Linked DNA regions of Caenorhabditis elegans. The protein of the gene in region 2 interacts with the protein of the main gene of each other region in a pairwise test. Each region holds a gene or a part of one and is shown on either strand. Other genes may lie near its edges.

Region 1 (10,869 bases), on a different chromosome or scaffold from region 2:
AAAAAAATGATACAAAATTTCCGAAAATTTTCAAAACTTCCAAACGAATTCTGTTCATTTTTCCAAGATTATCTGAAATTTTTCAGTGATTTTTTTTGGCAACTTATGGTATTTTAGACATTTTCCAAAATAAAAATCAAGGACGCCTTTTTTGCAAAAATTTGCTAAAAAAGGAATATTCCTTGAAATTCTAGACAATTTTGGAGGTTTGATTTGAAAAATTAGAATGTTGTTGTTCAAAATCGGAATTTTTCTGGATTTTCAGCTTGGGAACTCAAGGTTTTGAACTCAAAAATTGCCAATTTTTGCAATTTTAATAATTTAGGCGATTTTTCAAAATTGCCACTTTTGGAGCTTCTGGAAAACTTTTAAAAATCGAATTTTGGAACAAAAAATTCTCTGCATTTTTTTGCAAATTCGGCAACCAAATTTACCGCAAAACCTTGCCTTAAATCTTCAGTTTTCAGTTGTTTTTATTGGTTTCCAAAAACAGTCGATTTTCAAAAAATTTCAGTACACAAAACTTCTTCAAAATTTAAAATGAAATGAAAATTTTGAAAATGATAATTTTCGACTTGAACATATCTGCCAACTTTCTAAATTTTGGCATTTTTTGCATGCCTTCAAGGCCTGCCTCGTGTCTACTCAGGCGGTAGGCGAGATGCAGGCACGAGGTATGCCTACCTAATTTTTTGGTTCTCCATTTCCAATGTTCTCAAAGGTCGCAAAAAATCTTTGCTCTGAGGGGCTCACTGCTCTCAGCTGGCTGGTCAGAGGTGGCAAGAAGCTCATTTATTTAACTGCACTAAACTTTTGAGAGAAATTGAGAGTAAGGCGGTGGACAGGAACTAATAAGAATGAAAAGTGTTTCGCGTTGTAATGGGACTTTAGGACGATGGCACCGGCCTTCCAGACACACGTGTTTTGCTTCCGGGTGGTCAGCGAGGGCAACCCACCACAATACACCATATTTGACGCGCAACTTTTTTCCCCATTTTCAGAATACAGAATCCCAATACCGCCAGCATCAGCCATCGTACCCGCAAAACTACCAGAATCATAATTACAATGCTCACCAGCAACACTACCATCAGCAGCAGCAACAGCAGCAACATGCTCACCAACAAAAACAGGCGTCTCAGCAGCAGCAGCAACAACAGTACCCCTACAATAATTATCCTAGTCCAAGTAAGAATACGCACTACGGTAGTCTCTTCATCGGAATGATGACGTCACATGTGCAATTCCGTTGACGTCATACTTCCAAAAAATATTTTTGAATATGGAAGATATCAGCGACTGTATGTGTGTGGATTTACGAATCTAGTGTACTCCCCGTGGAAAATCAAACAAAGTATTTGACCGAAAAAGCCAAAATCTTTTGATCTCCATCTCCTCCAGGAGTGCACAATCTGCGTAAATCGACACAAGGTCAAAAAATATAAATATTCCAGCAAAGCTATTTCCAGATGCGATAAAAGCCTATCAGGCGGCGTATCCGTCGGTTCCACACGCTTCTGTGTTCAATCAGCCGACGCATCAGATTTGTGACATTCCACCAGACTTGTGGTAAGTGCTTTTTGTTGTTTTTTCAGAGGAAAATGCGGGGGAAAATGCTTTTAACAAAATGAAATAGGCTTAGGCTTAGGCTTAGGCATAGGCTTAGGCTGGGGCTTAGACTGGGGCTTAAGCTTAGGCTTAGAGTAAAGCTTAGGTTGAGGCATAGGCTTAAGCTGAGGCTTAGGCTTTGGCTTAAGCTCAGCTTAGGCTTAGACTTAGGCTCATGCTGTGCTCTGCTCAAAAAAATTTCGATCGTGCCAAGACCCCAAATTAGCAAAATCCAGAAAAAAATCTTTCCAGGTGTGACAGCCCGCAGTCTGCCCAACAGTGTGGGGTCCAACGGCAATGCGATGGTCTCCGTCACCGGCGGCAGCCGATCAAGATCACCTTGATCTATGAGGCCTTGTGCCCATATTGTCAAAAGTAGGCCATAGGAAAATCGATTTGACTGGAATTTATAAAGTTCAGATTCATCGCAAATCAGTTGGGCAGTGTGTTCAATCAGTTCCAGGGCCAGTTGATTCTTGAGCTAGTGCCATGGGGAAACTCTAGGATAATGCGGGTAATTTCTTTTTGTTCTGAAAATTCTGAAAATCGTCAAATTTGCACAGGACGGCTCATTCTCGTGCAATCACGGACAAAAAGAGTGCGACGCGAATCGCCTTCAATCTTGTGTCATTGATATTTTGAAGGTTAGCAATTGATGGGGGGCTCAAAACACAGACACAGATGAGCGCCGATCAATCTCTCTCTCTATTTATCAAAAGTGATTGATTTCAGGTCAAAGGAGCGTTGCCCTTCATCGTCTGTTTCGAACGTAACATTCAACACTATGGAGTCGAACACGCGATGCAGACGTGCTCCGCGTTCATTCGGAGCCAATATCGACAGATTAGGTATTTATTCCGAAAACTACTTTTACGGCAAATCGGTAAACCGGCAACTTGCCGGCATTGAAAATTTCCGGCAAATCGGGGGCCGGAAAATCGGCAAAATTCCGGAGTTTAAATTATCCGGCAAATTGACAAATTACCGGAATCGAAAACTTCCGGCATTCGGCAAACGGGCATATTGCCGGCATTGAAAATTTCCGGCAAATTGTCGGAATTGCAATTTCCGGCAAAATGTCGGAATTGCAAATTTCCGGCAAATCTGCAAACCGGCAAATTGCCGGAATTTAATTTTCCGGCAAATTGGCAACTTACCGGAATTGAAAATTTCCGGCAAATCGGCAAACCGCCAACTTACCGGAATTGAAAATTTCCGGCAAATTTCCGGAATCGAAAATTTCCGGCAAATCGGCAAACCGGCACTTTGCCGATTTTCTTTTTGCAATTTTGCCACACGCTTTTATTATCCTTTTAAATACGATTTTTCTGCATTTTTTCGAAAAAAACTAATTATCTTCCAGTATTTTGGTAAATAAACTCGGAAATTCATTTGAAAAATGAATTTAAAAAATGTAAACGCGCTCCATTTTTTTCGGTATTGCCGCTGAATTCCTAACGAGACCCATGGTTCGGAGGCGGAGCGCTTTCGATTGGCCGTGGAGCGCGTTTACTGTTTTTTAAACTAGTTTTCTAATAATAATTTCCTAAAACTAATAATGATAATAATAATTAAACTAGTTTTCTGCAAATTTTCGAATAAAATGTTCAAAGTTTTCCCGATCTTGAGCTAAAAAACGGGGTACCCGGTCTCGACACGACAAAATTGTGTTAAACGCGGAAAGCTGTGCGCTTTTAAAGACTACTGTAATTTCACTTTTTGGAATTTCTATCGATTTTTAATATTTTTTTATTATGTTTTGGTGAAAATCAAATGAAAAATTTATAGAAAATTCCTAAAAGTGAAACTACAGTAATCTTTAAAGGCGAAACTTTTTTGAATTAAAAAAAAAGATTGTCGTGTCGAGACCGTATCTTTCACAATTTCAGACAATGCTACGATGGTCCACGTGGCGTTCAACTCCAGCGCGAAGCTGCTCAAAAGACGATGAGCACCCGACCGAATCCGATCCTCGAAGTTCCATATCTCCTCATCAACGACTACACACCATCGGTCGATATGAACAATCTGAATGTGATGCTGCTGCCTCAGTTGTTAGCGAAATGGACTAAATTAACGCATAAACAATAAATCGATTAAAGGCGGGGAAGATTCATGTTTTCCAACACCGAACTGGGATGATTTCAAAATAAATTATGGGGAAAAATACACAAAAAGACGGGGAGAGAACGAGGAAATTGGGAATTTTTGAGAAAATAATAAAAAAATAAGCAAATGAGTATTGATTTAAAAATTATTGCAATGAAGTCGTCGCCATCATACCGGCCAAACTTTGCACAATATTGTCGTTGAGCATCTTGCTCACTTCATCAGCAATATGCCGCTTCGGATCCATCTTTCCGACGTTCTTGATCGCGAGCTCCTGATCCGTCATGTTCTTCTCGTCCTCCAACGCCTTCTTGTAGTTCTTGGCGAGCTTGAGCATCGCCTTGAGGTGCTCCTTGTTCTGTTCACCGCATTTTGAGTAGTTTTCGACGCTGACTGCGTCCATCCATGAGAGCTTGTTAAGATTCAAGAGCATCTTCTGTTCAAGGTCGTGGGTTCTGTAGGCGATTGGGATGGAGTAGTAGTGACGATTGAGTCCGTGGATTAGGGCCTGAAAAAAAAACCGAAAATTATTGAAATGTTCACTAAAAACCGATAATTTCCCCAACCTGAATGCTCGGCTTCTGCAAATGACCCAAATTACTGGTAGTTTGACGTGGTTCTTGATTTAAAGCCATCGATTGTGGGTTGATCGTACGGAACGCGTCGATCACAACCTTTCCCTTCACAGATTGAATCGGGTCGACGACAACGGCGACAGCTCTGTCGGAAAGCGCTTCAAACGACTGCTGAGTGTTGATGTCGACGCCGGAGAGCCAACATCCGAATCCTGGATGGGAATGGTACCATCCGACGACCATCTCGGGTCTTCCGGTCTGTTTGAGCATGTCGAGCATCTTCGCCTGGAATACTGGATCGACCGCTTCGACTGAGACTCCCTGTAATGAAAATAATAAATTATCTTTTTTAAAAATTCAATTTTTGACGAAAACTCACGGTTCCAGACTGTGGCATAGCGAAAACGTCGATCACATTGACGGTGTAGTCGTCGACGAATTCTCCAAGCATCAGCCCCATCACTTCCATGGGAACTCCGGCTCTTCCGTGTTTGAGCATCTTCAGCAACGCCAGCGAAGAAATGTAGACGGTTTCCGAGGTGTCGACTTGATTCGAGTCCTGTGGATTGGCTCCGAACTGGAAATATTCGAAATTTTAGATGATTTTCTATCGAAACAGAATGCAATTACCGTTCCAAGGTTTCCACCAAGACCTCCGAGTCGCAGGAATCGCTCCATTCCTCTCTGAAACAGATTTCGGTGAAAATTAACAGAAATTTCGTGGAAACAACTGAGAAAATCGATAAAAACACAATACGACATTGATAATTACCATTATCCAGATATTTTAATAAATTTTTGACCGGAAATATCCGAAATTTACAGCAAAAAACGAAGAAATCGGGAGTCGCGTTCGAAAATTGTGAGGATGACAATTGCGGGGTACGCAAACACCACGCGGGTGTCACTGCGGACTTTGCGCGCGATATGACGACAATGCAAAAAAATAAAGAAAACGGCGGGAACAGTTTATTTTCAAATAAAAAAGGTCAAATATTAATTTCTCATAATAAGGTTTATTCAAGTGGAATATTTGAATTTTGAGCAATTTTAAATAGTCAGTAGCATAGTGAAGTTGGGTAATGTGAATGAGGGAATTTAAAAATAACAATTAAATTAAAAGTTTAGAGTCGAGGACTTTGTTGGATCGCGGCTCTTGGAGCAACATCTTCTTTTTTGACAGTCTCACAGCCATTGGTTTGGATTGAACGGTGTATTCTAAAATTTAGACGTTAAATTATTGATATTTTGTTTTCAAACTTACGTTTCTAGCAGGTATACGCCGTAGTTGCATTTCTCTTCCCTGCTCCAAAACGCCGACTCTCCTTTGAAACTGCCGTTCTGAAAATTTTACTATATTAGAATCTTTTTTAGCCAATTAATTTAACTTACGTATTTGTTAGTAAAGTTCGATTTTCCAGCCAAATTTTTGAAAAAAAATATCATAGCAGCTTCCCTGGCGAGTGCTAGATTTTCGATAATTGGTCTCCCTAAAAAGCAATTCAATTTATAGATTTTTCTTATCTAAACGTACAAATTATGTGTTTATAAACAAATCCTTTTTTGTTCCAAGCCTGGTCAATTGTAGTAAGCTTGCGGCTTCCTTGAATGTTCCCGCAAGCATCCTTGAAGTAGGCCATTGCTCTTTCCCCTTTTCCTTTGCCCACGTAGAATATTGACGAGAGGAACGTAGCCAGATCTACTTCCCTCACGTCTTTGTCCAGAACGTATGGGTTTATTAGAACGTAACAGTAACTCTCACTAGGTGCTTCCTTCAAACTTTTTTTCAGATCGTTATCCATAGTTTTCCCTTTTTCTTTTAAATCCTCTCGTAACTCTTCGCCGTCCATGTACTGTCCCAATGTCTTCGATGGCTTCTTATTTCTTGTTGCGCGATTGACGTTAGTAGATTTTTCTTGATGGGGAGATCCGGTGAGCTTTGAATTGATACATAATTAGCAGATCGCTTCCTCGATTCTTGATACTTGTCTCTTCTATAAGCATTAGAATATGAAAACTTGAAAATGGTTTTTTTTTTCAATTAAAATAAGTTTCAAAAGTTATCACTTACTGATTAGTAGCCGATCTCGTGTTGGTTAGGTTGATGTTAGTTTTTTTTGACACACGATCTCTGAATAAAAAAATTCACATGCGATATTATCAGGTCCTGCCATTTTAAACATTTTTCAGCTACTTTTTCCACGCGGCAATTCACCGGCAATTTTAATTCCGGCAACTCGGCAATTTGCCAATTTGCCGGAGATTTCAATTCAGGCAATTCGCAGGTTTGCCGATTTGCCGGAAATTTAAATTCCGGCAAAGTGCCTTTTTTCCGGCAATTTGCAGGTTTGCCGATTTGCCAGAAATTTCAATTCCGGCAAAGTCCCGTTTTTCCGGCAATTTGCAGGTTTGCCGATTTGCCGGAAATTTAAATTTCGGCAAAGTGCCGTTTTTCCGGCAATTTGCAGGATTGCCGATTTGCCGGAAATTTACATTTCGGCAAAGTGCCGTTTTTCCGGCAAAACGGCAATTTGCAGGTTTGCCGATTTGCCGGAAATTTCAGTTCCGGCAAAGTGCCGTTTTTACGACAAATCGGCTATTTGCAGGTTTGCCAATTTGCCGGAAATTTAAATTTCGGCAAAGTGCCGTTTTTCCGGCAAATCAGCAATTTGCAGGTTTTTCGATTTGCCGGAAATTTCAATTTCGGCAATTTGCCGATTTGCCAGAAAATTCAGTTCCGGCAAAGTGCCGTTTTTCCGGCATATCGGCTATTTGCAGGTTTGCCGATTTGCCGGAAATTTAAATTTCGGCAAAGTGCCGTTTTTCCGGCAAATCGGCAATTTGCAGGTTTGCCGATTTGCCGGAAATTTCAATTCCGGCAAATCGGCAAATTTGCGGGTTTGCCGATTTGCCGGAAATTTTCAATTCCGGTAAGTTGCCGATTTGCCAGAAATTTCAGTTCCGGCAATTTGCCGATTTGCCGGAAATGTTCCCAGGACTTAAAGGTGGAGTAGCAGTGGGGAAACTGTTAAAAACCACATATATGCCACCAAGATGTCCAAATATCATAGTAACATGTTTTGAAAATTTTTTATTGGCAATAAAAATGGCAGGTTATTGAGTTTTAGCCACATTTTTAGAAAACTGTAGTAATTTCGCATGCTCGAATCCTTACAATTTTTATTTGAAACAATCGGCGAATTCCAAAAAGGGTTACAAAATTAGTTTCAAATTTTTTGAAACGTTCTACTATGATATTTGGTTATCTTGGCACATTTTTTGGCAACAATATTCCAAAAAAAAATTTCAATTTATAAAATGTTTAAATTGTAAGTTTTTCTATACACTGGAATTGATTCAGTTTCTAAAGTTTCTATTATTGCTGCCGTTTTGGAATACTATTTTCAATCAATGTTTTTAAAATTTTTAATGCATTTACCCTCCTTCTATATTATCTTGAGAGAATGATTGCGCCTATGGTCATCATATGGAGCGATCATTCTGGCAAGATAGGTGCTGTCGCCTCTACGTTTGGTGAAGGAGATCAACAGTTGACGATGAGGGTCTTACGGGTTCAATTTCCTGGCACGAGTCACTGGCTAAAGACAGTACTTATTCATAATATTTTTTGGTTAATGATTTTTAAATAAAGCTGTAAACTTTTAAAATATATTGTTTCCTATTTAAACATTTGAATCATTCATTTTTGGAAACTGCAACTGCATTGAAGCAATGTTAAGATGAATGGTATATGTACATAAACCAACGAAAACCATGGAATTGGAAGTCATTTCAATAAGTTTTAGGATTTTTTTCAGGTTTCAGGATCATCCAGGTTTTTACAACTCTTTATGGAATCCTAGCTTTTTTTTATTTTTCTCTTCGAAGTAGTTTTGCTTCTCTTTTTCCAGAATGTTTTGGCTACTTTTTTTTTCTGAAAATTCAAAAAAACCACTATTTTAATGTGTTGACTTGGTAAGGTCACCAGATTAACGTCTTCGAGCTCTGGCAACTTCAGCTATCGTAACCGGAACACTTAATTCTGAGATTGCGGATTGTGCAACATATTTGGCGCGATGAATATCTCGTAGCGAAACCCACAGTAACTCTTTCAATGAGAACAGTAGTGATTGTGTCGATTTACGGGCTCTATTTTGGAATGAAAATTGTGACATCGATATTCAATTTTCTTTAGTTTTTTTTTTCGTATTATCGATTAATCCATTATTTCCGTAAATTGTCACCAGCACTACAGTAGTCATTTAAAGAATTACTATAGTTTTCGCTAAGAAATATTTTGCGCGTCAAATATGTTGCGCAATATTATCAAAAAATATAAATCGCACTGGCCACCACGGCCCGGCGAACCGTACGTGGCTGTAAAATCTCTACCGTAGTAAAATTTAGCTGACTGAATATTCAACGTTTGATACTCAGCGAAAAGTTTCATACGACATTTTGCGGACGCGGCATTTTAATTGACGACACTTTCTTAGTTATAGAAACGCTGGTTATTTCGGCAATTTTCGGGCAGAAATTGTGAAAAATAAATGAATTTTTATCGAATTTACAAAAAATAATAATTTTAAAGGATTGTATGTTGCTGATATTGAAGAAAATCGATACTTTAAACAGTTTTTCGCAATGTTTCTCGATTTTGGCCAATTTTTTCGAGTTTTAGAGCCCTGAAATTCCCTAAATCGTATAATCTCACATTTGATTATTGAAAAACGCGTGTTATTATTAAAAATTCGTTTATTAATATAAAAATAACAATGTAAATACATAATAAAAATGTAAAAGATAGTCAATAAAAATTTAAAAGATTGTAAAAAGACCTAATCCGAAGTGATCAGTGAGAAATTGCGATAAGAGAGATTATTTCCTTTTTAGCTTTTCTTCTTGACCAGTCATCTTCGGTTGACGAACTTCAAGAGCCTCTTCTTCCATAACAGGGGAGTAGCATGCCACTTGTCGTTGCCTCTGCATTGTTCTCACAGAAATATTGCGCTTGATGAACACTTGCTTCGCCCGTTTCATGACCTCCCTCTTCTTCGATCTGCAATTTTTATTTTCATTTCATGTTTTCAAATAACTGTCAACTCACTTTCTTTTTCGACTTCTGCCATAGGTGGTGCAACTGTCAGTCCAAATCGGGGCTTATACGAGTTCTATTCGGGCATCTTTATGTGGCAGCGGCGGTGGAAGCGCGATCCATTTGCAATCGGGTTGATTCTAAAAAAATTCGGATTTTTAAGTTACAAATATCTTATTGGAAACTAACCATATTATGAATATTGTACACTTGACTCATATTGAAGTATTGCCATCCACTGTTACCTGGATAATGAATCGGAAAGTACCAAGGTTAATTGCATTCCAGCAGCGATTTATGCCGTTTCAAGGTGCTTCCCGTTGAACGATGAAGTCGATGAACGATTCCAAACATCAACCATCACGTCATCAAAAGATGAATAATCGGAGTATAAAATCCTGGAAAAATTTTTTAATGAAAGGTCCAACATCAGCTTCGTGACAAATTTGATTTCGAATTTGATATGAAATTTTCTTTTCGAAAAAAAGTCAACTTTTTGATCATAGACTATCGGTTTTTTGATGTTTTTAGAAAGATCTCGTCCAGTAGTACGTGAAAATGTCAAAAAAATATCGAAATTCTATACAGTTTTTCGAAAAATAATTTTTAAAAATTTTAGTATTACTGAAATTTTCTTTTTGAAAAAAGTCAACTTTTTGAACATGGGGCCTCGATTTTTTGGTGTTTTTAGAAAGATCTCGTCCAGTACAACGTGAAAACGTCAAAAAAATATCGAAATTCTATAGGAATGTTGGGATTTTCCAGACACGAAAATCTCCGTAGTGCATTTTTTTCACATTTTTCTATTTTTCTCGATTTTTTCGACATGAAAGTTCGTTTTTTTGTACTTTTTCGAAAGCTGACATCACGACAAATGCTATGACGGCATTTTTAATGTCAAATTCTATAGGATTTTTTCACTAGACAAAAAAAACTCACTTTTTTCGAATTTTCCTCCTTCCAGTTGGCGGTTGAGTGCTGTTTTGCCGCGGTTTTGTGATTTTCTGCAACAAAAAAAATATTTTTATCGATAAAAATGAGAAAAAACGAGAAAAAACGAAGATAAATGAGCTTAGCAGTCAAATTAAAAATGTTTATTCGTTCAAAAATCTTAACCATAGGAGGCGGTGGCCTAGCCGGCGCAGCTCTCGCGGCCACGTCTCTTTCGCCGGGCCGTGGCCACGTGACTTTTGTTTTTTATTTATTTTTTATTTACGCTCCTCCTACAATTGTATTTTCACAGAGAATTCAGTGCGATTTATATTTTTTGATAATACGCATTCTCAGAATTTAGTGTTATTGCAATACATACAAAGGCTTTTTGTCAGGCATTCAAAAAAATGAGTTGGTACGAAAAAGGACGTGATTTTATCGATTTGTATCGATTTTTATTGAATTTTTCTTGGATTTTAATGTATTTTTATTGAGTTTTCAGTATATTTTAGGTTATTTATCGATTTCACTTGATCCGGTTGCATTTTC
Region 2 (13,541 bases):
GAGAGTTAATTTTTGCGATTTTAGCAAAACTGCTTGGATTTTTACGTAAAAAATTTTACGATTATGACAATATCATTTAAAAAACCACCTCAGGCCGTTTTAGGCCGTTTCAGGTCGTTTCGAGCCCAAAATCGCAAAGTGCTCGTAACATAGCCAATATGGGTCTCAAAATTTTGGAAATTTTACGGAGATTTCAATTTTCGCAATTAAAATGTTGCAGAAAGCAAGTTGGCTGTGATAGGTGCTACCACGACGGCTGTGAGATCAGCTCTCGGGCCGTAGAGGACCTCCAGGCCTTCTTCAAGTGCCCCCATGGAATGACACCGATTAATGATGCGACAGATGATTGTCAGTGTCAGATTCCACAAATGGCTCAATATTTGGGTGAGAATGTTCCGGAAATTCCTGCAAAAAATCGGCAATTTTTCAGGAAACCAGCCACCTGTAAGGTACCAGGAGAACAACGATGAGTATATGGTGCCTACTGATCGATTAGTGGAAAATGGACAAAAAAGTCGGAAACATAAATAACAAAATGATATGATATTGATTTTGAAAGAAAAAAATTAAAAAAAAAAAAATTTTCGAAATTTTTTTTTTCAAATTTAATTTTTTTTGTTTCCCTTCCTGGTTTAATAAATTGTTCATAAACCAAAAGATCGATTTTTTTTTCCATTTTCCCCTACAAAACGCGTAGGCACTGTCGGATTATTGGCTAATCTCTCTGTACACTTTTACTGTTCATTGCGAATTTTACTCTGTTCGGTTTGTTTTTAATTGTTTGAAATTGTGATTTTATTGATTTTACAATTTTGAAATTTTAATATTTGGCAGAAAAAATGGAGATTTTGTAGGAAACTTTTCGAAAACTCCAGTTTTAAACTATATTTTCCCAATTTAAGACCAAAAAATTCGAAATCACCACCTGCAAAAACCTATTGTCCTCTCCGGGGTTTGAACCTGTGGCCTGTTGCTCCATAGTCAAGCCTCTTAACCACTGCGCCACGTGAACTCCCGCGCACAGCCTCCTAAAGCTGCGCGGCGCGTCCAGCAGCATGGCGCAGTGGGTAAGAGGCTTGAGCTTGGATAAATAGGTTGCAGGTTCGACCCCTGGAGCTGGTCTAAAGGTTTTTCTATGTGAAAATCACGATTTTTCAACTCCCAAAACGCGAAAAATCCATTGAAACGAACTTTTCAACACATTTTTCAGAAATTTTCCCGATGAACTCCTCACTTTTCGATCTTTTCCCATTTGTATACAAGTCCACCGACGCCAGAATTCACAAAAGTCGCTCCACCGACGAAACCGGCTGGGATGAAGTGTTCGAGCCAACTTATACGGCTATTGAACACTCAACTCGCCTACTGTCCGAATGGCTAGTGGACACAGTCTCCCTGGTGGCTAGTATTGCTCTTTGTGCATTTTTATGGAGGAGGAAGCGGTTAATGTTAAAGTATGCGGTGAGTTAATTGAATATATGTACTAGAATTTGGAAAAAATTTGGAATTTTCAAAAAAAAAATTTTTTTTGGAAATTTTTTAATAACTTTACAAGAATATGAGCATTTCAATTTTTTTTTTAAATAACTCAAATTTGCAGAAAAAACCATTCAAAATTTGAATTTTTCAGTGAAAAACTCACTTTTTCAAATTTAAACTTAAATTTCTCCCCGACAAATTTATCGATTTTCCTGAAAATTTACCAAATACCTTAACAAAGCTTCATCTTTCAGAAAACACATCAAAAATTTTTTCCTTAACCCGGTTCCAAAGTTATGCCAATTTCAATCCCTCATTTTCCAGAACTACATATCCTTCGCCACATTCTCGGCGCAAATCCTCTACTGGCCATTCTACCTACTCTCTACGTGGCAGACAATGTACCTACTATTCGGAAAAGCTCCCGAGTACCCATCCGTGCTCCATTGCTCGTTGCTCCGTCACTTTGTGCTCGCCTGTTTCCAGTCGGCCGGCCTGATTACTGTACCAATCGCTATTGATCATATTTGTCTGGTTTTTTTGAAGAAAAAGCTGAAAGTGTTTAATTTAGTGGTGATTCAAGTGATCATCACGTTTGTTGAGGTAAATTTTTGGAAAGTTAATGGAAAAATAGGCCACGCCCACTTTTTGGTGAGCATGGCCCATTTTTCAATAAAAATTCGAACCGTTTTGGTCACATTTTTCTAAAAACTGGTTTTTATGGAAAAATAAAAACGTTTGTAGCCACGCCCACAAAAAAATCAAAAAAGTGGGCGTGCCGATAAAGCCCCGCCCACTTTTGGGGAGTGAATTGAAAAACCAAACCTTTCTAGTTCTGCCTGGTAGTATTAGCATTTTTTCTGTGATTTTTTTTTTGCAGTTCTTCGAAAAAAGTATGGTACACTTTAGGCCACGCCCAAAAATGGGCGGAGCCTGTAGAATTCAGCCCGCCTATTTTTGGGGCGTGGCTACAAATTTTCATGTTTTTTTAAAATCATTTTCAGTCAAAATTTTGCAGTGTTTTCGAAATTCCTTGTACTTCATAATATTGGCGGTACACGACAAACCCCGCCCACAAAATGGGTGGAGTCTAGGAAATTAAGCTTCACCCACTTTTACAGGCGTGGCTTGGAAGTTTTCGCATTTTCTAGTGAAAATTGCACTTTTACAAAAATTTTCCTTTTTGCTAAAAAAGAAATGGTAGTACAAAATAAACCACGCCCATAAAATGGTCCGGATATGCTCCGCCCATTTTTTGGAATGAGGCTTAATCTTTTGTCGAATTTAATCGGGTTTTGACTTAAAAAAAATTTTTTTTTAATTTTCCATATAAAAGTTGATTATTCTCAGCTTTTCTTCACACTGGGACACCTGGCAATTGGTGACGTCACTATTAATGATGTTTGTGCTCAGTGGATAGCTTCACCTGACGTTTTTCTGATTTCTGTGAGTTTTTTCTTGAAATTTTTGACATTTTCTTGGATTTTCAGATGTCTTTCAACAATACGCTGCTGATTTTTGCAATTTTGGCAAATTTCACGCTGGTTATCGTGCAAGTTATCGATAAGTTCTTGTTTAAAAGTGGGATTTTTTGGGGGTTTTTTTTTTGAAATTTCCGCCGAATTTTCAGAGTGTACATCTACAAAGCACCTGTCTCTCAATTATTCTTTTGTGATTTTATTGCAAAGTGTCACTGAATTTATATTGTCATTTCCGCTAACAATGCGGCAGTGGAAAGTACTCCTGGCAGGTGGGAAAATTAAAAAAAAAATTTCAAAAAAAAAAAAAATTTTTCAACAATTTTTTCCGCTATTTTTTCCGCTATTTTTTTTTGCTAAAAAACGACACAATTTTTCAATTTTTCAGGTATCCGTTCAGTTAACTATTTCTGCGCCTACGGGTACATGTTCTCGTTCTCCTGCATTTTTATGGTGCCACTGGTCAGTATGATGTGCATTCCGCCGATTAGGAGGGCATTTTTAGATTTTTTCACGTGTAGTGGATTGAAAAAACCAGCAATTGCAATTGTAGACAGAAGAAAATTCAAATTTGATAACGTTTATGAGAAATAAAATATTTGCAAAAAAAAAAACAAATCAAATCAAATCACAAAGTTAATTTCTACAACAATAAAAAACTAGATTTTGATCACAGTTTCAGGCACATTTTTTGACTTTTTTTTCAGGATTATATACAATTTAAAAAAATTCTTGGCATTTTTTTTCTGTAGGTAGTACTGTATTAGAATCGGCCATTACACATTTCGTAGAACTTCGCGTCCACTGAGTAGACATTGAAGACGTGTGAAATTTCTACGTCTTCCTGGAATCGGCGGGTGGCTCTCTGAAAACAGATTGAACTGAAATTTGCACAATTTTGAGCATTTTTGGTAGTTTTTGAGAATTTTGCCCGTATAGCGCAGTGGAATGTTCCGATCAAAAGACTTTTTGCACAAGCTTCGAAGCTTCTCAATTTGAAAATTCCGTAGGGAAATCCGTAAATTTTAACGCGTTTGGCAACTAGAATTGCGTCAAGGCATAGAGTCAAGGCACTAGAACTGCGTCAAGGCACTAGAATTGGGCCAAAGCACAAGAATTGCGTCAAGGCACTAGAACTGCGTCAAGGCACTAGAATTGCGCCAAGGCACAAGAATTGCGTCAAGGCACTAGAAATGCGTCAAGGCACTAGAACTGCGTCAAGGCACTAGAATTGCGCCAAGGCACAAGAAATGCGTCAAGGCACTAGAAATGCGTCAAGGCACTAGAAATGCGTCAAGGCACTAGAATTGCGTCAAGGCACTAGAATTGCGTCCAGTCACTAGAATTGCGCCAAGGCACAAGAATTGCGTCAAGGCACTAGAAATGCGTCAAGGCACAAGAATTGCGTCAAGACACTAGAAATGCGTAAAGGCACAAGAATTGCGTCAAGGCACTAGAATTGCGTCAAGGCACTAGAAATGCGTCAAGGCACTAGAAATGCGTCAAGGCACTAGAATTGCGTCAATACACTATAATTGCGTCAAGGCACAAGAATTGCGCCAAGGCACTAGAAATGCGTCAAGACACTATAATTGAGTCAAGGCACAAGAATTGCGCCAAGGCACTAGAAATGCGTCAAGGCACTAGAATTGCGTCAAAGCACTAGAAATGCGTCAAGGCACAAAAATTTTGCCAAAGGTCAATGCTCATTTCAAAAACATACACCCAAAATTTCATAGCTCTACGACCATTTTGAGCAAAGTTACAGCTTTTCAAAGTTCCAACGTCGACCGCGACGCGACACGCGACGCATGGTGAAAACTTTGAAGACGCGTAACTTTGCTCACATTTGTGCTACAGGTCTGAAATTTTTTGTGGCCGCTTAGATTTTTTTTTCCTTTACAATTTCAAAACTCACCTGCAACGCTGGCAACAAAGACAGTAAATTCGCCAGCCTCATCGACGGGTCCTCAATATGTCTCACATTCCGATAGTGGTACAGTATCTCTCGCTGAATCGCCTCTCGAATTCGTCGCGAGACCCGAATACACTCCTCAGATTGTCCTTCCAGGCCTAAAATACTTATTATCAGCTAAACTTATCCCAAAAAAAAAAACGTTACCAGTATCAAATAAAACCAATGAGCAAAGCGCGAAAAACTCAAAACTGTCCACATTATCCCGGAGCATCGGATCTGTGACATTTCGCCGGTAAATACTGAAACTCGATGCAAACATTCTGACTGCATCCTCTGAAGACATGAGCTGGCGGCCGTCTGGGTCGTAGTAGAACGTCTCCGGGTGCGAGCAGTCGATGTAGTCACCTGACGCTAGAATTATGACGTCACTACGGTCTGAAATTGTAAATTGAAAAACAGTTTTCAAATTTTCAACAAAAAAAAACCAAAAACTTACTATGAATACACGCAAAATGACCGCCCTGGAGAATCACGAATGGCAAGAAAAAATTGCGGAACAAAATTATCTGAAAATATTGAATTCTTTCGATAAAACTGAAATTTCAGGCTTTCCGGCCTACTTTCTGATCTTTGTGTAAATCTGCGAATCCGGGGTACGAGTTGAGAATCCAGTCGGCCACCAGATCACATTCCTTCGAGCTGACAATATTCGCCTCTTTGTAGCTCACCGCTTTTGGGGTTCGCATCTGGAAAAAAAAAATTGAATTTTACGTAGCTCAGTAAATCTACATCAAAAACTCCTGTAAATCTACATGAACTTTTGTAAATCTACATCAACGGCTCCGTAAATCTACACTGACTCACGTAAATCTACACGGACTGCTGTAAAAAATCTGCACTGAAAACTCTCGTAAATCTACACTAAAAACGCTCGTAAATCCACATTAAAAGTTCCCGTAAAGTTACACGAACTCTCGTATATTCACATCAGAAGATTCCGTAAATCTACACTAACTTTCGTAACTATACATCAAAAGCCCCCATAAATCTACACTGACTCCTGTAAACCTACATTAAATACTCTCGTAAATCTTCACTAACTCTCGTAAACCTACATAAAAACTCCCGTAAATCTACACTGACACCTGTAAACCTACACTAAAAACTCTCGTAAATCCACACCAACTCTCGTAAATCTACACTAAAAGCTCCCGTAAATCTACAATAACTCACGTAAACCTACACGAAAAACTCCCTAAATCTACACAAGCTTATGTACAAATTCACATGAAAAACTCCAAATTTTTTCATTTTTTTTTTCAGATAACTGTACCTGAAACACACTGCTGCCCTGATCGTGATGTACGACGCGGCGGACACTTTGCAGTTTTTCGTAATTCTGGCTCAACATGGTCAAAATTGGCATTCCGCATTCCTCGACACTGTCGAACGTGGAATTCGGGTTGAAACCACCAGGAGGGCCAAATCCGTCGCCTTGATTCGGAAGTGAAACTGATGAGCTGCCCGGCGATTCGACGTCAGAGCCACGTTTTCCGTAAGCGTCACGGTATTTTTGAACGGCTGAAAAAATAAAATTAGATTATAAATATAAGAAAAATTATCCCATATCTACACAAGCATCCGTAAATCTACACCAGCTTCCGTAAATCTACAGGAAACATTTCTGTAAATCTACACAAGCTTCCGTAAGTTTATGAAAGCTTTCGTAAATCTACAAAACACTCCCGTAAATTTACAAAAATTTCCGTAAATTACACAGACTCCCGTAAATCTACACAAGCTGTTGCAATTCAAATTTTTCGATTTTTTAGGAATAATTTTCGAATTTTAGATTACTTTTTCTAATTTTCTAAACAATTTTTTGGTGAAAATTTCAGAAATTGGCTTAAAACTCACCTTCTCGCTTCATCCCAACTGCCATACATTTTGCAAATCGACAAGCTCGGCACATGCATCTGATAGCTGAAATTTTGGCTAAAAATCGATAGTTTTCACGGAAAACGGCCTACTTGAAAGAATATCACAATTTCCATCTCCACGGCATCTGTACAATTTGTTGAGGGCAACTGAACGGCGGAAAAATGCTGCGCAGGCTCTGAAAATTATTGAAATTTTTGAAAAAAAAATGCACGTTTTTTCGGCTGAAATCTTTGAAAATTTGGCAGCAGCTTACCGACAGGCTTCTGCTCCAAAATGCACACCATTACCAACTTCTCCACAAATACTGCACGGCGGCTTCTCGCCTCGTCCAGCAGACATTTTTTTTGCTGAAAAACTAAAATTCGTTGAAAATAAGGCAATAAATAAGGTACAAATTGAGTAAAAACTGAAGCTTGTAAAAGTTAAAAAAAATTATTTAGTTGAATTTCTCCAAAAATTAGAAATTTCCAAAAATTTGAAAAATTCAAAAAACTTGGAATTTTTGGCTTAGGCTTCAGGCTTAGGTTTAGGTTTAGGTTTAGGCTTAGGCTAAGGCTTAGACCTAGATTTAGGCTTAGGCTTAGGCTTAGACGTCGGCTAATTCTTAAACTTAGGGTTAGGCTTAGGATTAGGCTTAGGCTTAGTCTTAGGTATAGGCTTAGGCTTATGCTTACAAGGGAAGTCTTTGAGGGGGTCCGTAGATTTGGGGTTCTCATGCTAAAATTCCTACAGAAGAGTGTTAGTTATATATATAGTTATAAACTTTTTGATACCAGCTACAAAGAAGAAAACAAGGTTGGCATTTGGCTAGTTTTTCTATTAACATTGTGTTTTGGAAAACGGTCACAACTTTTTGGTGGCTGAAGGTATCAAAAAGTTTATAACTAAAACTTTGTTTACTGTTATTCAACAAACATTTTGTTAGTTGATCATATTTCAAAATAATTTATCTCAACGAAGTTATGCAACTTCAAAGTTGGTTAAATATTTTGCACAAAGTTCGTGAGATGTAGATCATTTCGACGGTTTACTTGCGAATAGAGAGTTAAAACTTGTGTAATGTACGTTTCATACATTTCTAAACAACAGCATAGCAATTTCATAATTGTTTAGAAAAATGAAATTTTTTGATTTTTTTGCTTGGAGTTGATTAAGAAATTTTGAGCAAAAATGAAAAAAATAAAAATTTCCAAAAAGTGCGGACAATGATTCTAGGTTCCCGAATAAGAATAAAATCACTTTAAAAATGCGCAAAAATGTTTGAATGAGTTGTTTTACAACTTTATTCAACTTACAAAAATATTTCAAAAATAGAAGGTATCGAACCAAAGCTTAAATCTTATCAGACGCGCGCACTCCCAACTCGGCCACCGAAGACATTTTTCAACTCAATGTGGTGGGTGTCACATTTTCGGTGGTCACGCAGGCTGAGATTTGCGTGGATTGCATGGTAAGACAGTGGATTTCAATGGTGTTTTTAACTGAAATTTCAAAACGTCATAACTTTGCTGAAACTTGACCGGGGCAGCTAAATTTTTTGGAGAGATCATAACTAACACTCTTCTGTAGGAATTTTAGCATGAGAACCCCAAATCTACGGACCCCCTCAAAGACTTCCCTTGTTAGGCTTAGGCTTAGGCCTAAACTTTTTTTGGGCATTAAGCCTTCTTAAAAAATTCGAATTTCTAAAAATTTGAATTTTTTTCAAAAAGTATTTCAAAAATATGGATTTCGGAAGCTCGGAAAATTCGGAAAAAATGAAATTTTTTGCAAATTTGTAAATTTTGGAGTTTCAAAAAAATTGTAAAAATTTATAACATCACAAATTTGAAAGAAATTGAAAATTTTTAAACATTTTGAAGTTTCAAAAATCCATTTTAAGGATTTTTTCATTCAAAAACGAATTTTTCATTGAAAAAAGTAGTAATTTCTTATATATATTTGTCACAAATACAAGAAAAATGAAAATAAAAAAATGTTGGAAAAAAGAATTTGAAGAAAAAGAAAAAATGTTGGAAAAATGAAAATGATGCTTTCAAATGAAAAATTCTACAGAAAATAGTGCTCAAAAATACATGAAGCTCGCAAATTTAAAAAAAAACAAGTTTTCCACCTGGAAAACCCAAAAAAAATCGATAAAAAATCACAAGTTCACCAGAACTACACGCCTAGTACGTTGTACACCTGGTTGTCTGCCATTCTAATAAAATTCGAGGAAATAGTGTACGAGGGGCTAGAGACGCAGACGGTTGGAATCAGCATGCATGGGCCAACGGGAACTATGGATACGCAGACGGCATAGTATGATGACAAATAGACGGGAAAACTGGTCTTTTGGACGTGTCGGAGTACATTGAAACACACTAGACAGCAAAAATTAACCATTTTTGGTTTGTTGTCAAAAAAAAAATTTTTTGACTTTTTTTCAAAAAATTTTTTTTTTCAATTTTTTTCCGAAAAACTCATTTTTATATGAAAATTTGCATTTTCCATGTTTTTCCAATTTCAAAATGTATAATAATGCCTATAATCCATTAGATTTAAAATTTTCGGATCTCGCAGCGAAAATTTAAATTTAAAGGAGCAGCAAATGAGAAAATCTCAAAATGCTCCAAACCTGGTCATGATTATACTTAAATCAAAGCTCTAAGCTAGCTGAATTCAAAATTATCAAATTTTTAGGTGTTATCATAAAATTGAGAGGGTTACTGCAGAATTTTCGTGGCGAGACTAAAAATTAAAAAAAATTGGAAGTTTAGTCAAAATTGAAGCTTTAATTTAATTTTTTTCCAGTTTTATTGCTATTTTCGTACAATCAATTACAAAAAAAATTATTCAAACATTTGAATATTTTATTAAAAACATAACTGTAATGAGCACAAAATCATAAAATGAGGTGAAAAAATTTTTCAAAAAAAAAAACCATTAAAAATCGTTAAAACCGGCTTTACAATACATATAAATAGCTCTTCTATGAGAAAAAAATTCAAAAAAAAACAGAAATTATACACATCCATATTCGTGCCAAATTGTCGATTCATTCGGTTTCAGATCACTATTTTCCGGCAAATCCGGAGGGTTTTGGGGTAAATTTACATTTTCGTAGTAGCTGAGCGTCTTGTCGATGCGTTCTTCCTGAAAAATGAAAAATGTTGGGAAGAAGTTTAAAGTTATTTTTTTCTGGAAAGTTTCGCAAAAATAAATGGTTTTACTGAAATAGTGAAAAATTCAGAAAATTAAAAATACAATTTTTTTTGCCAATTTAAATTCAATAAAACTGAAAGTTCAATTCTCCAACCCTGACAAACTTTTAAAATTTTTTTAAAATTTTTTGTCTTTTTTCGGCCGATTTTTTGACCCAATTCTTTATCTGTATTTTTAGGAATTTATAGGAATTTTTTTTTTTTCTCAACTCCCCAGCTTCGCTCAAGTCTAAGCCTTAGCCTAAGCTTAATCCTAAGCTTAATCCTAAGCATAAGTCTAAGCCTAAGTCTGAGCCTGAGCCTGGGCCTAAGTCTGAGCCTAAGCCTTAGCCTAAGCTTAATCCTAAGCCTAAGCCTAAGCCTAAGCCTAAGCTCAAGCCTAAGCCTGAGGCTACGCCTAAGTCCATGCCTAAGCCTGAGGCTACGCCTAAGCCTAAGCCTAAGCCTAACCCTAAGTCTACGCCTAAGCCTAAACTTATGCCTAGACCTAAGCCTAAGCCTAAGCCTAAACCTGAGACTAAGCCTAAGCCTAAGCCTGAGATTAAGCCTAAGCCTAAGCCTAGGCCTAGACCTAAGCCTAATTATTTTCAAAAAAGTTCAAGATTATGTTTCAGGCAGTTTCTAATGCAAATTTCTTCACTTTACCCCCCACAAAAATCCATTTTTTCCCAATTTTTCCTCTAAAATCTTATCTTACCTTATCTCTAACTAGTTCCCTTTTTTCTCCTTCCCCCACAACCCTTCTTTCCTCCAAAATTGACGAATTTGGTGTCGAATGAGCAATTGGCTCAAAAAACGAAGAATTTTGCTCAATTTTGTGGGCGGGGCTGCGGTTGTAAGGCGGGGGCGGTGGGCGGGACCTGAGTGATGACGTCATCGGGGAGTTGCGGATGGGCACACGTGGCGGCAGGAATGGAGATGCTGAAAATGGGGGAAAATGAGCAACAAAAAAAATTGAGCAAAAATTTAGGAATTTTTTTTTCAAATTTGAAATTTTGTCTGAAGATTCGATTTTTTCCCCCCAAAACTTACTATAAATATGCCCGTCATGATCATTTCCATATCTCCTCGGACTTCTCACAGAACCGCCCATAAAGTCGTTACGAGACCTTAAAAGCGGATTTTTTGCACTAAAGTCTGGAGAAATGACGTCATGATCGTCAGATGAGGAGCATGTTGGCGGCAGGTGATCTACGTCCTCATTTGTACCTGTTTTAGTAAAATTAGTTATGATAAAGAGGTGAAGAACTAAAAAATAGACAGAAAATTATGACAAGAACAACAACAAAAATGATTTTAATTTTTTTTTTTGAAATCTCAAATTAGAACATTTTGCAAATATTTTTCAGCTTCAAAATATTAAAATTCGAGTTCAAAATGTTAGAATTCCTCTAAAACAAGCTTGAAAAAAATTTAATCCACCGCGGGGACTCGAACCCCGGTCTTCTGCTCGGCAGTCGGCGAAAATCGCACTGAGCCAGTTGGACAAAAATTTCAAAAAATGTTTAAAATGCACAAATATTTCATTTTTCTTCAACATAGGACATCAAGACAGAGACATGGACAAGTATGAACAGACAAAAACATAAAAACACAAAAATATAGAAATGACGGACCCGAAACACAAGCACAGCGGGACACACATAGAAATATACCGTATTTCCTTTTAAGCCTTATATCTCGGTTTATTTTTAGAATTTTAAGAGAATTTTAACTGGGAAAGTATAGAAAAATAGCTGATAAAGATTTTGGTAGTTGACAATTTTTTGATAACTTCAAAAGTAAAAAAGATATAAGCTGATAAAGAGATGCTACATCAAATTGCTAATTTTACCGTTTTTAAACTCATTTTATAGATTTTTCGAATTTTTCTAATACCAAAATATAGAAAATTTTATAAGGAATATGCTAGCAGTTGACAATTTTTAAATAAGTCTAAAACTAACCAAGATACCGTCGATCTTTGCCATTTTTCGGCTCATTTTTGATATTTTTACAAATTTTCAACTACCAAAATGTAGAAAATTAAAAAATAAGCATTTTGTTAATTGAAAGTTTTCAGGTAAAATCCCAACTAACCAAGATATAAGCTTTTGGAAATACGGCACATAAAAAATAAAATTCGTGCAATACAAATAATATTTCTGATATACAAATAAAAGTTTTGAGAAATTTTTAATTTTTTGACCACTTTGATCACCTAATCACTACAATTATAGTGATAATCAATCATTTTCCGAACATTCGGATTTGTATAAGCCCCCTGTAACAAGCTGGGCTTCGCCGTTCGCCGCAGCGATAAAAACCGCGAAAACGAGCTTGACGGACTGGGCGAACTTTGAATTTTTAGAGCAGAAATTTTCGAGAAGCTTCTCGAACCATGCAAAGGACACTCGTCGGGTGTACTGTCTGATGACGTGGACACAGAACATGTCGAATTACCGGCTAACGGAGGGGAGCTCCGTTCGTCTGCAGAGTAGACGCTGCTGTCTTCGGTTGTTGAGCCGCCGTTTGATGTTGCTCGGCGCTGGAATAAATATGGGGGTTTTTATTGAAATAAATATATTTTAAAATATGAATTTTCCCTCTAGAAATGTCTGAAAATCTCATTTTCACATTTAAAACCGTTCGAAATTTTGCATTTTCAATGTTAAAATGGTTGGAGTTTTGAATTTCCTATTAAAAAAAAGTCTGAAATTTTGAATTTTCAATGCAAAAATGCTTGAAATTTCGATTTTCCTATAAAAAAAAGTCCTAAACTTTTTAAATTCCTATGTGAAAAATCATGAATTCTGAATTGCCAATGTAAAAGTTCCTGAAATTTCAAACTTTCTATGAAAAAATGTTCGAAATTTTGATTTTTCTACAAAAAACTGTCTGGAATTTTGAATTTCCTATATAAAAATTCCTGAAATTTCAATTTTCCTATGTTAAAATGTGTGAAATTTTGAACTTCCAAAGTAAAAATATCTGAATATTTAAATTTCCAATGCTAAAATGTCCGAAATTTTGAATTTCCTATGTAAAAATGTGTGAACTTTTCAAATTCCAATGTAAAAAATTCCTGAAATTTCAATTTTCCTATGTTAAAATGTGTGAAATTTTGAACTTCCAATGTAAAAGTTCCTGAAATTTCAAACTTTCTATGAAAAAATGTCCAAATTTTTGCATTTCCTATGTAAAAATTCCCAAAAACTTTGAATTTCCTATGTAAAAATGTCCGAAATGTTGAATTTCCTAGATAATAAATTCCTGAAATTTCGAATTTTCTTCCCAAAAACCTTTGAAAATTCGTTTTTCCGGTATGAAATTTTTTGAAAATTCTGATTTCCTTTTTAAAAACCGGCTAAACTTTCGAGCAAAAATTACCCTGTTAATCAGTGCCTTAGCGGCTCGCTTCACCAGCGGCTGCTTCCGTTCTGGCGTTGACTTCTTGTTCTCCATGGTTCTGTATTGATCCATGATCTTGTCCTCAAGCTTTTCTTTGTGACGACGTAAAGCGCTGAGTTGATCCTAGAAGAT

Evidence for each region.
Region 1: the proteins of nhr-70 (region 2) and rpn-11 interact in a two-hybrid assay, tested with the Caenorhabditis elegans proteins (2 studies listed by BioGRID).

The regions. Positions count from the first base shown.
Region 1 is NC_003280.10:4,039,355-4,050,223, forward strand, and holds rpn-11 (26S proteasome non-ATPase regulatory subunit 14), read right to left. Parts: upstream 4,977-10,869; 5' UTR 4,971-4,976; coding exon 4,923-4,970; intron 4,870-4,922; coding exon 4,672-4,869; intron 4,614-4,671; coding exon 4,284-4,613; intron 4,226-4,283; coding exon 3,863-4,225; 3' UTR 3,708-3,862; downstream 1-3,707. Other genes in the region: pqn-48 (Prion-like-(Q/N-rich)-domain-bearing protein), read left to right, coding at 1,002-1,188, 1,470-1,569, 1,861-1,983, 2,029-2,122, 2,172-2,252, 2,341-2,456, 3,498-3,699; K07D4.2 (GIY-YIG domain-containing protein), read right to left, coding at 5,417-5,510, 5,557-5,633, 5,685-5,782, 5,827-6,142. UniProt on the Caenorhabditis elegans protein: Metalloprotease component of the 26S proteasome that specifically cleaves 'Lys-63'-linked polyubiquitin chains. The 26S proteasome is involved in the ATP-dependent degradation of ubiquitinated proteins.
Region 2 is NC_003283.11:18,610,223-18,623,763, reverse strand, and holds nhr-70 (Nuclear Hormone Receptor family), read right to left. Parts: upstream 7,178-13,541; 5' UTR 7,156-7,177; coding exon 7,070-7,155; intron 6,992-7,069; coding exon 6,906-6,991; intron 6,859-6,905; coding exon 6,793-6,858; intron 6,457-6,792; coding exon 6,209-6,456; intron 5,622-6,208; coding exon 5,496-5,621; intron 5,442-5,495; coding exon 5,372-5,441; intron 5,311-5,371; coding exon 5,080-5,310; intron 5,031-5,079; coding exon 4,876-5,030; intron 3,823-4,875; coding exon 3,721-3,822; 3' UTR 3,552-3,720; downstream 1-3,551. Other genes in the region: Y69H2.15 (BTB domain-containing protein), read left to right, coding at 221-384, 431-531; Y69H2.1 (Serpentine Receptor, class V), read left to right, coding at 1,222-1,461, 1,804-2,082, 2,830-2,925, 2,970-3,060, 3,110-3,229, 3,346-3,551; grdn-1 (Girdin homolog), read right to left, coding at 9,820-9,951, 10,717-10,940, 11,052-11,228, 12,462-12,546, 13,389-13,532.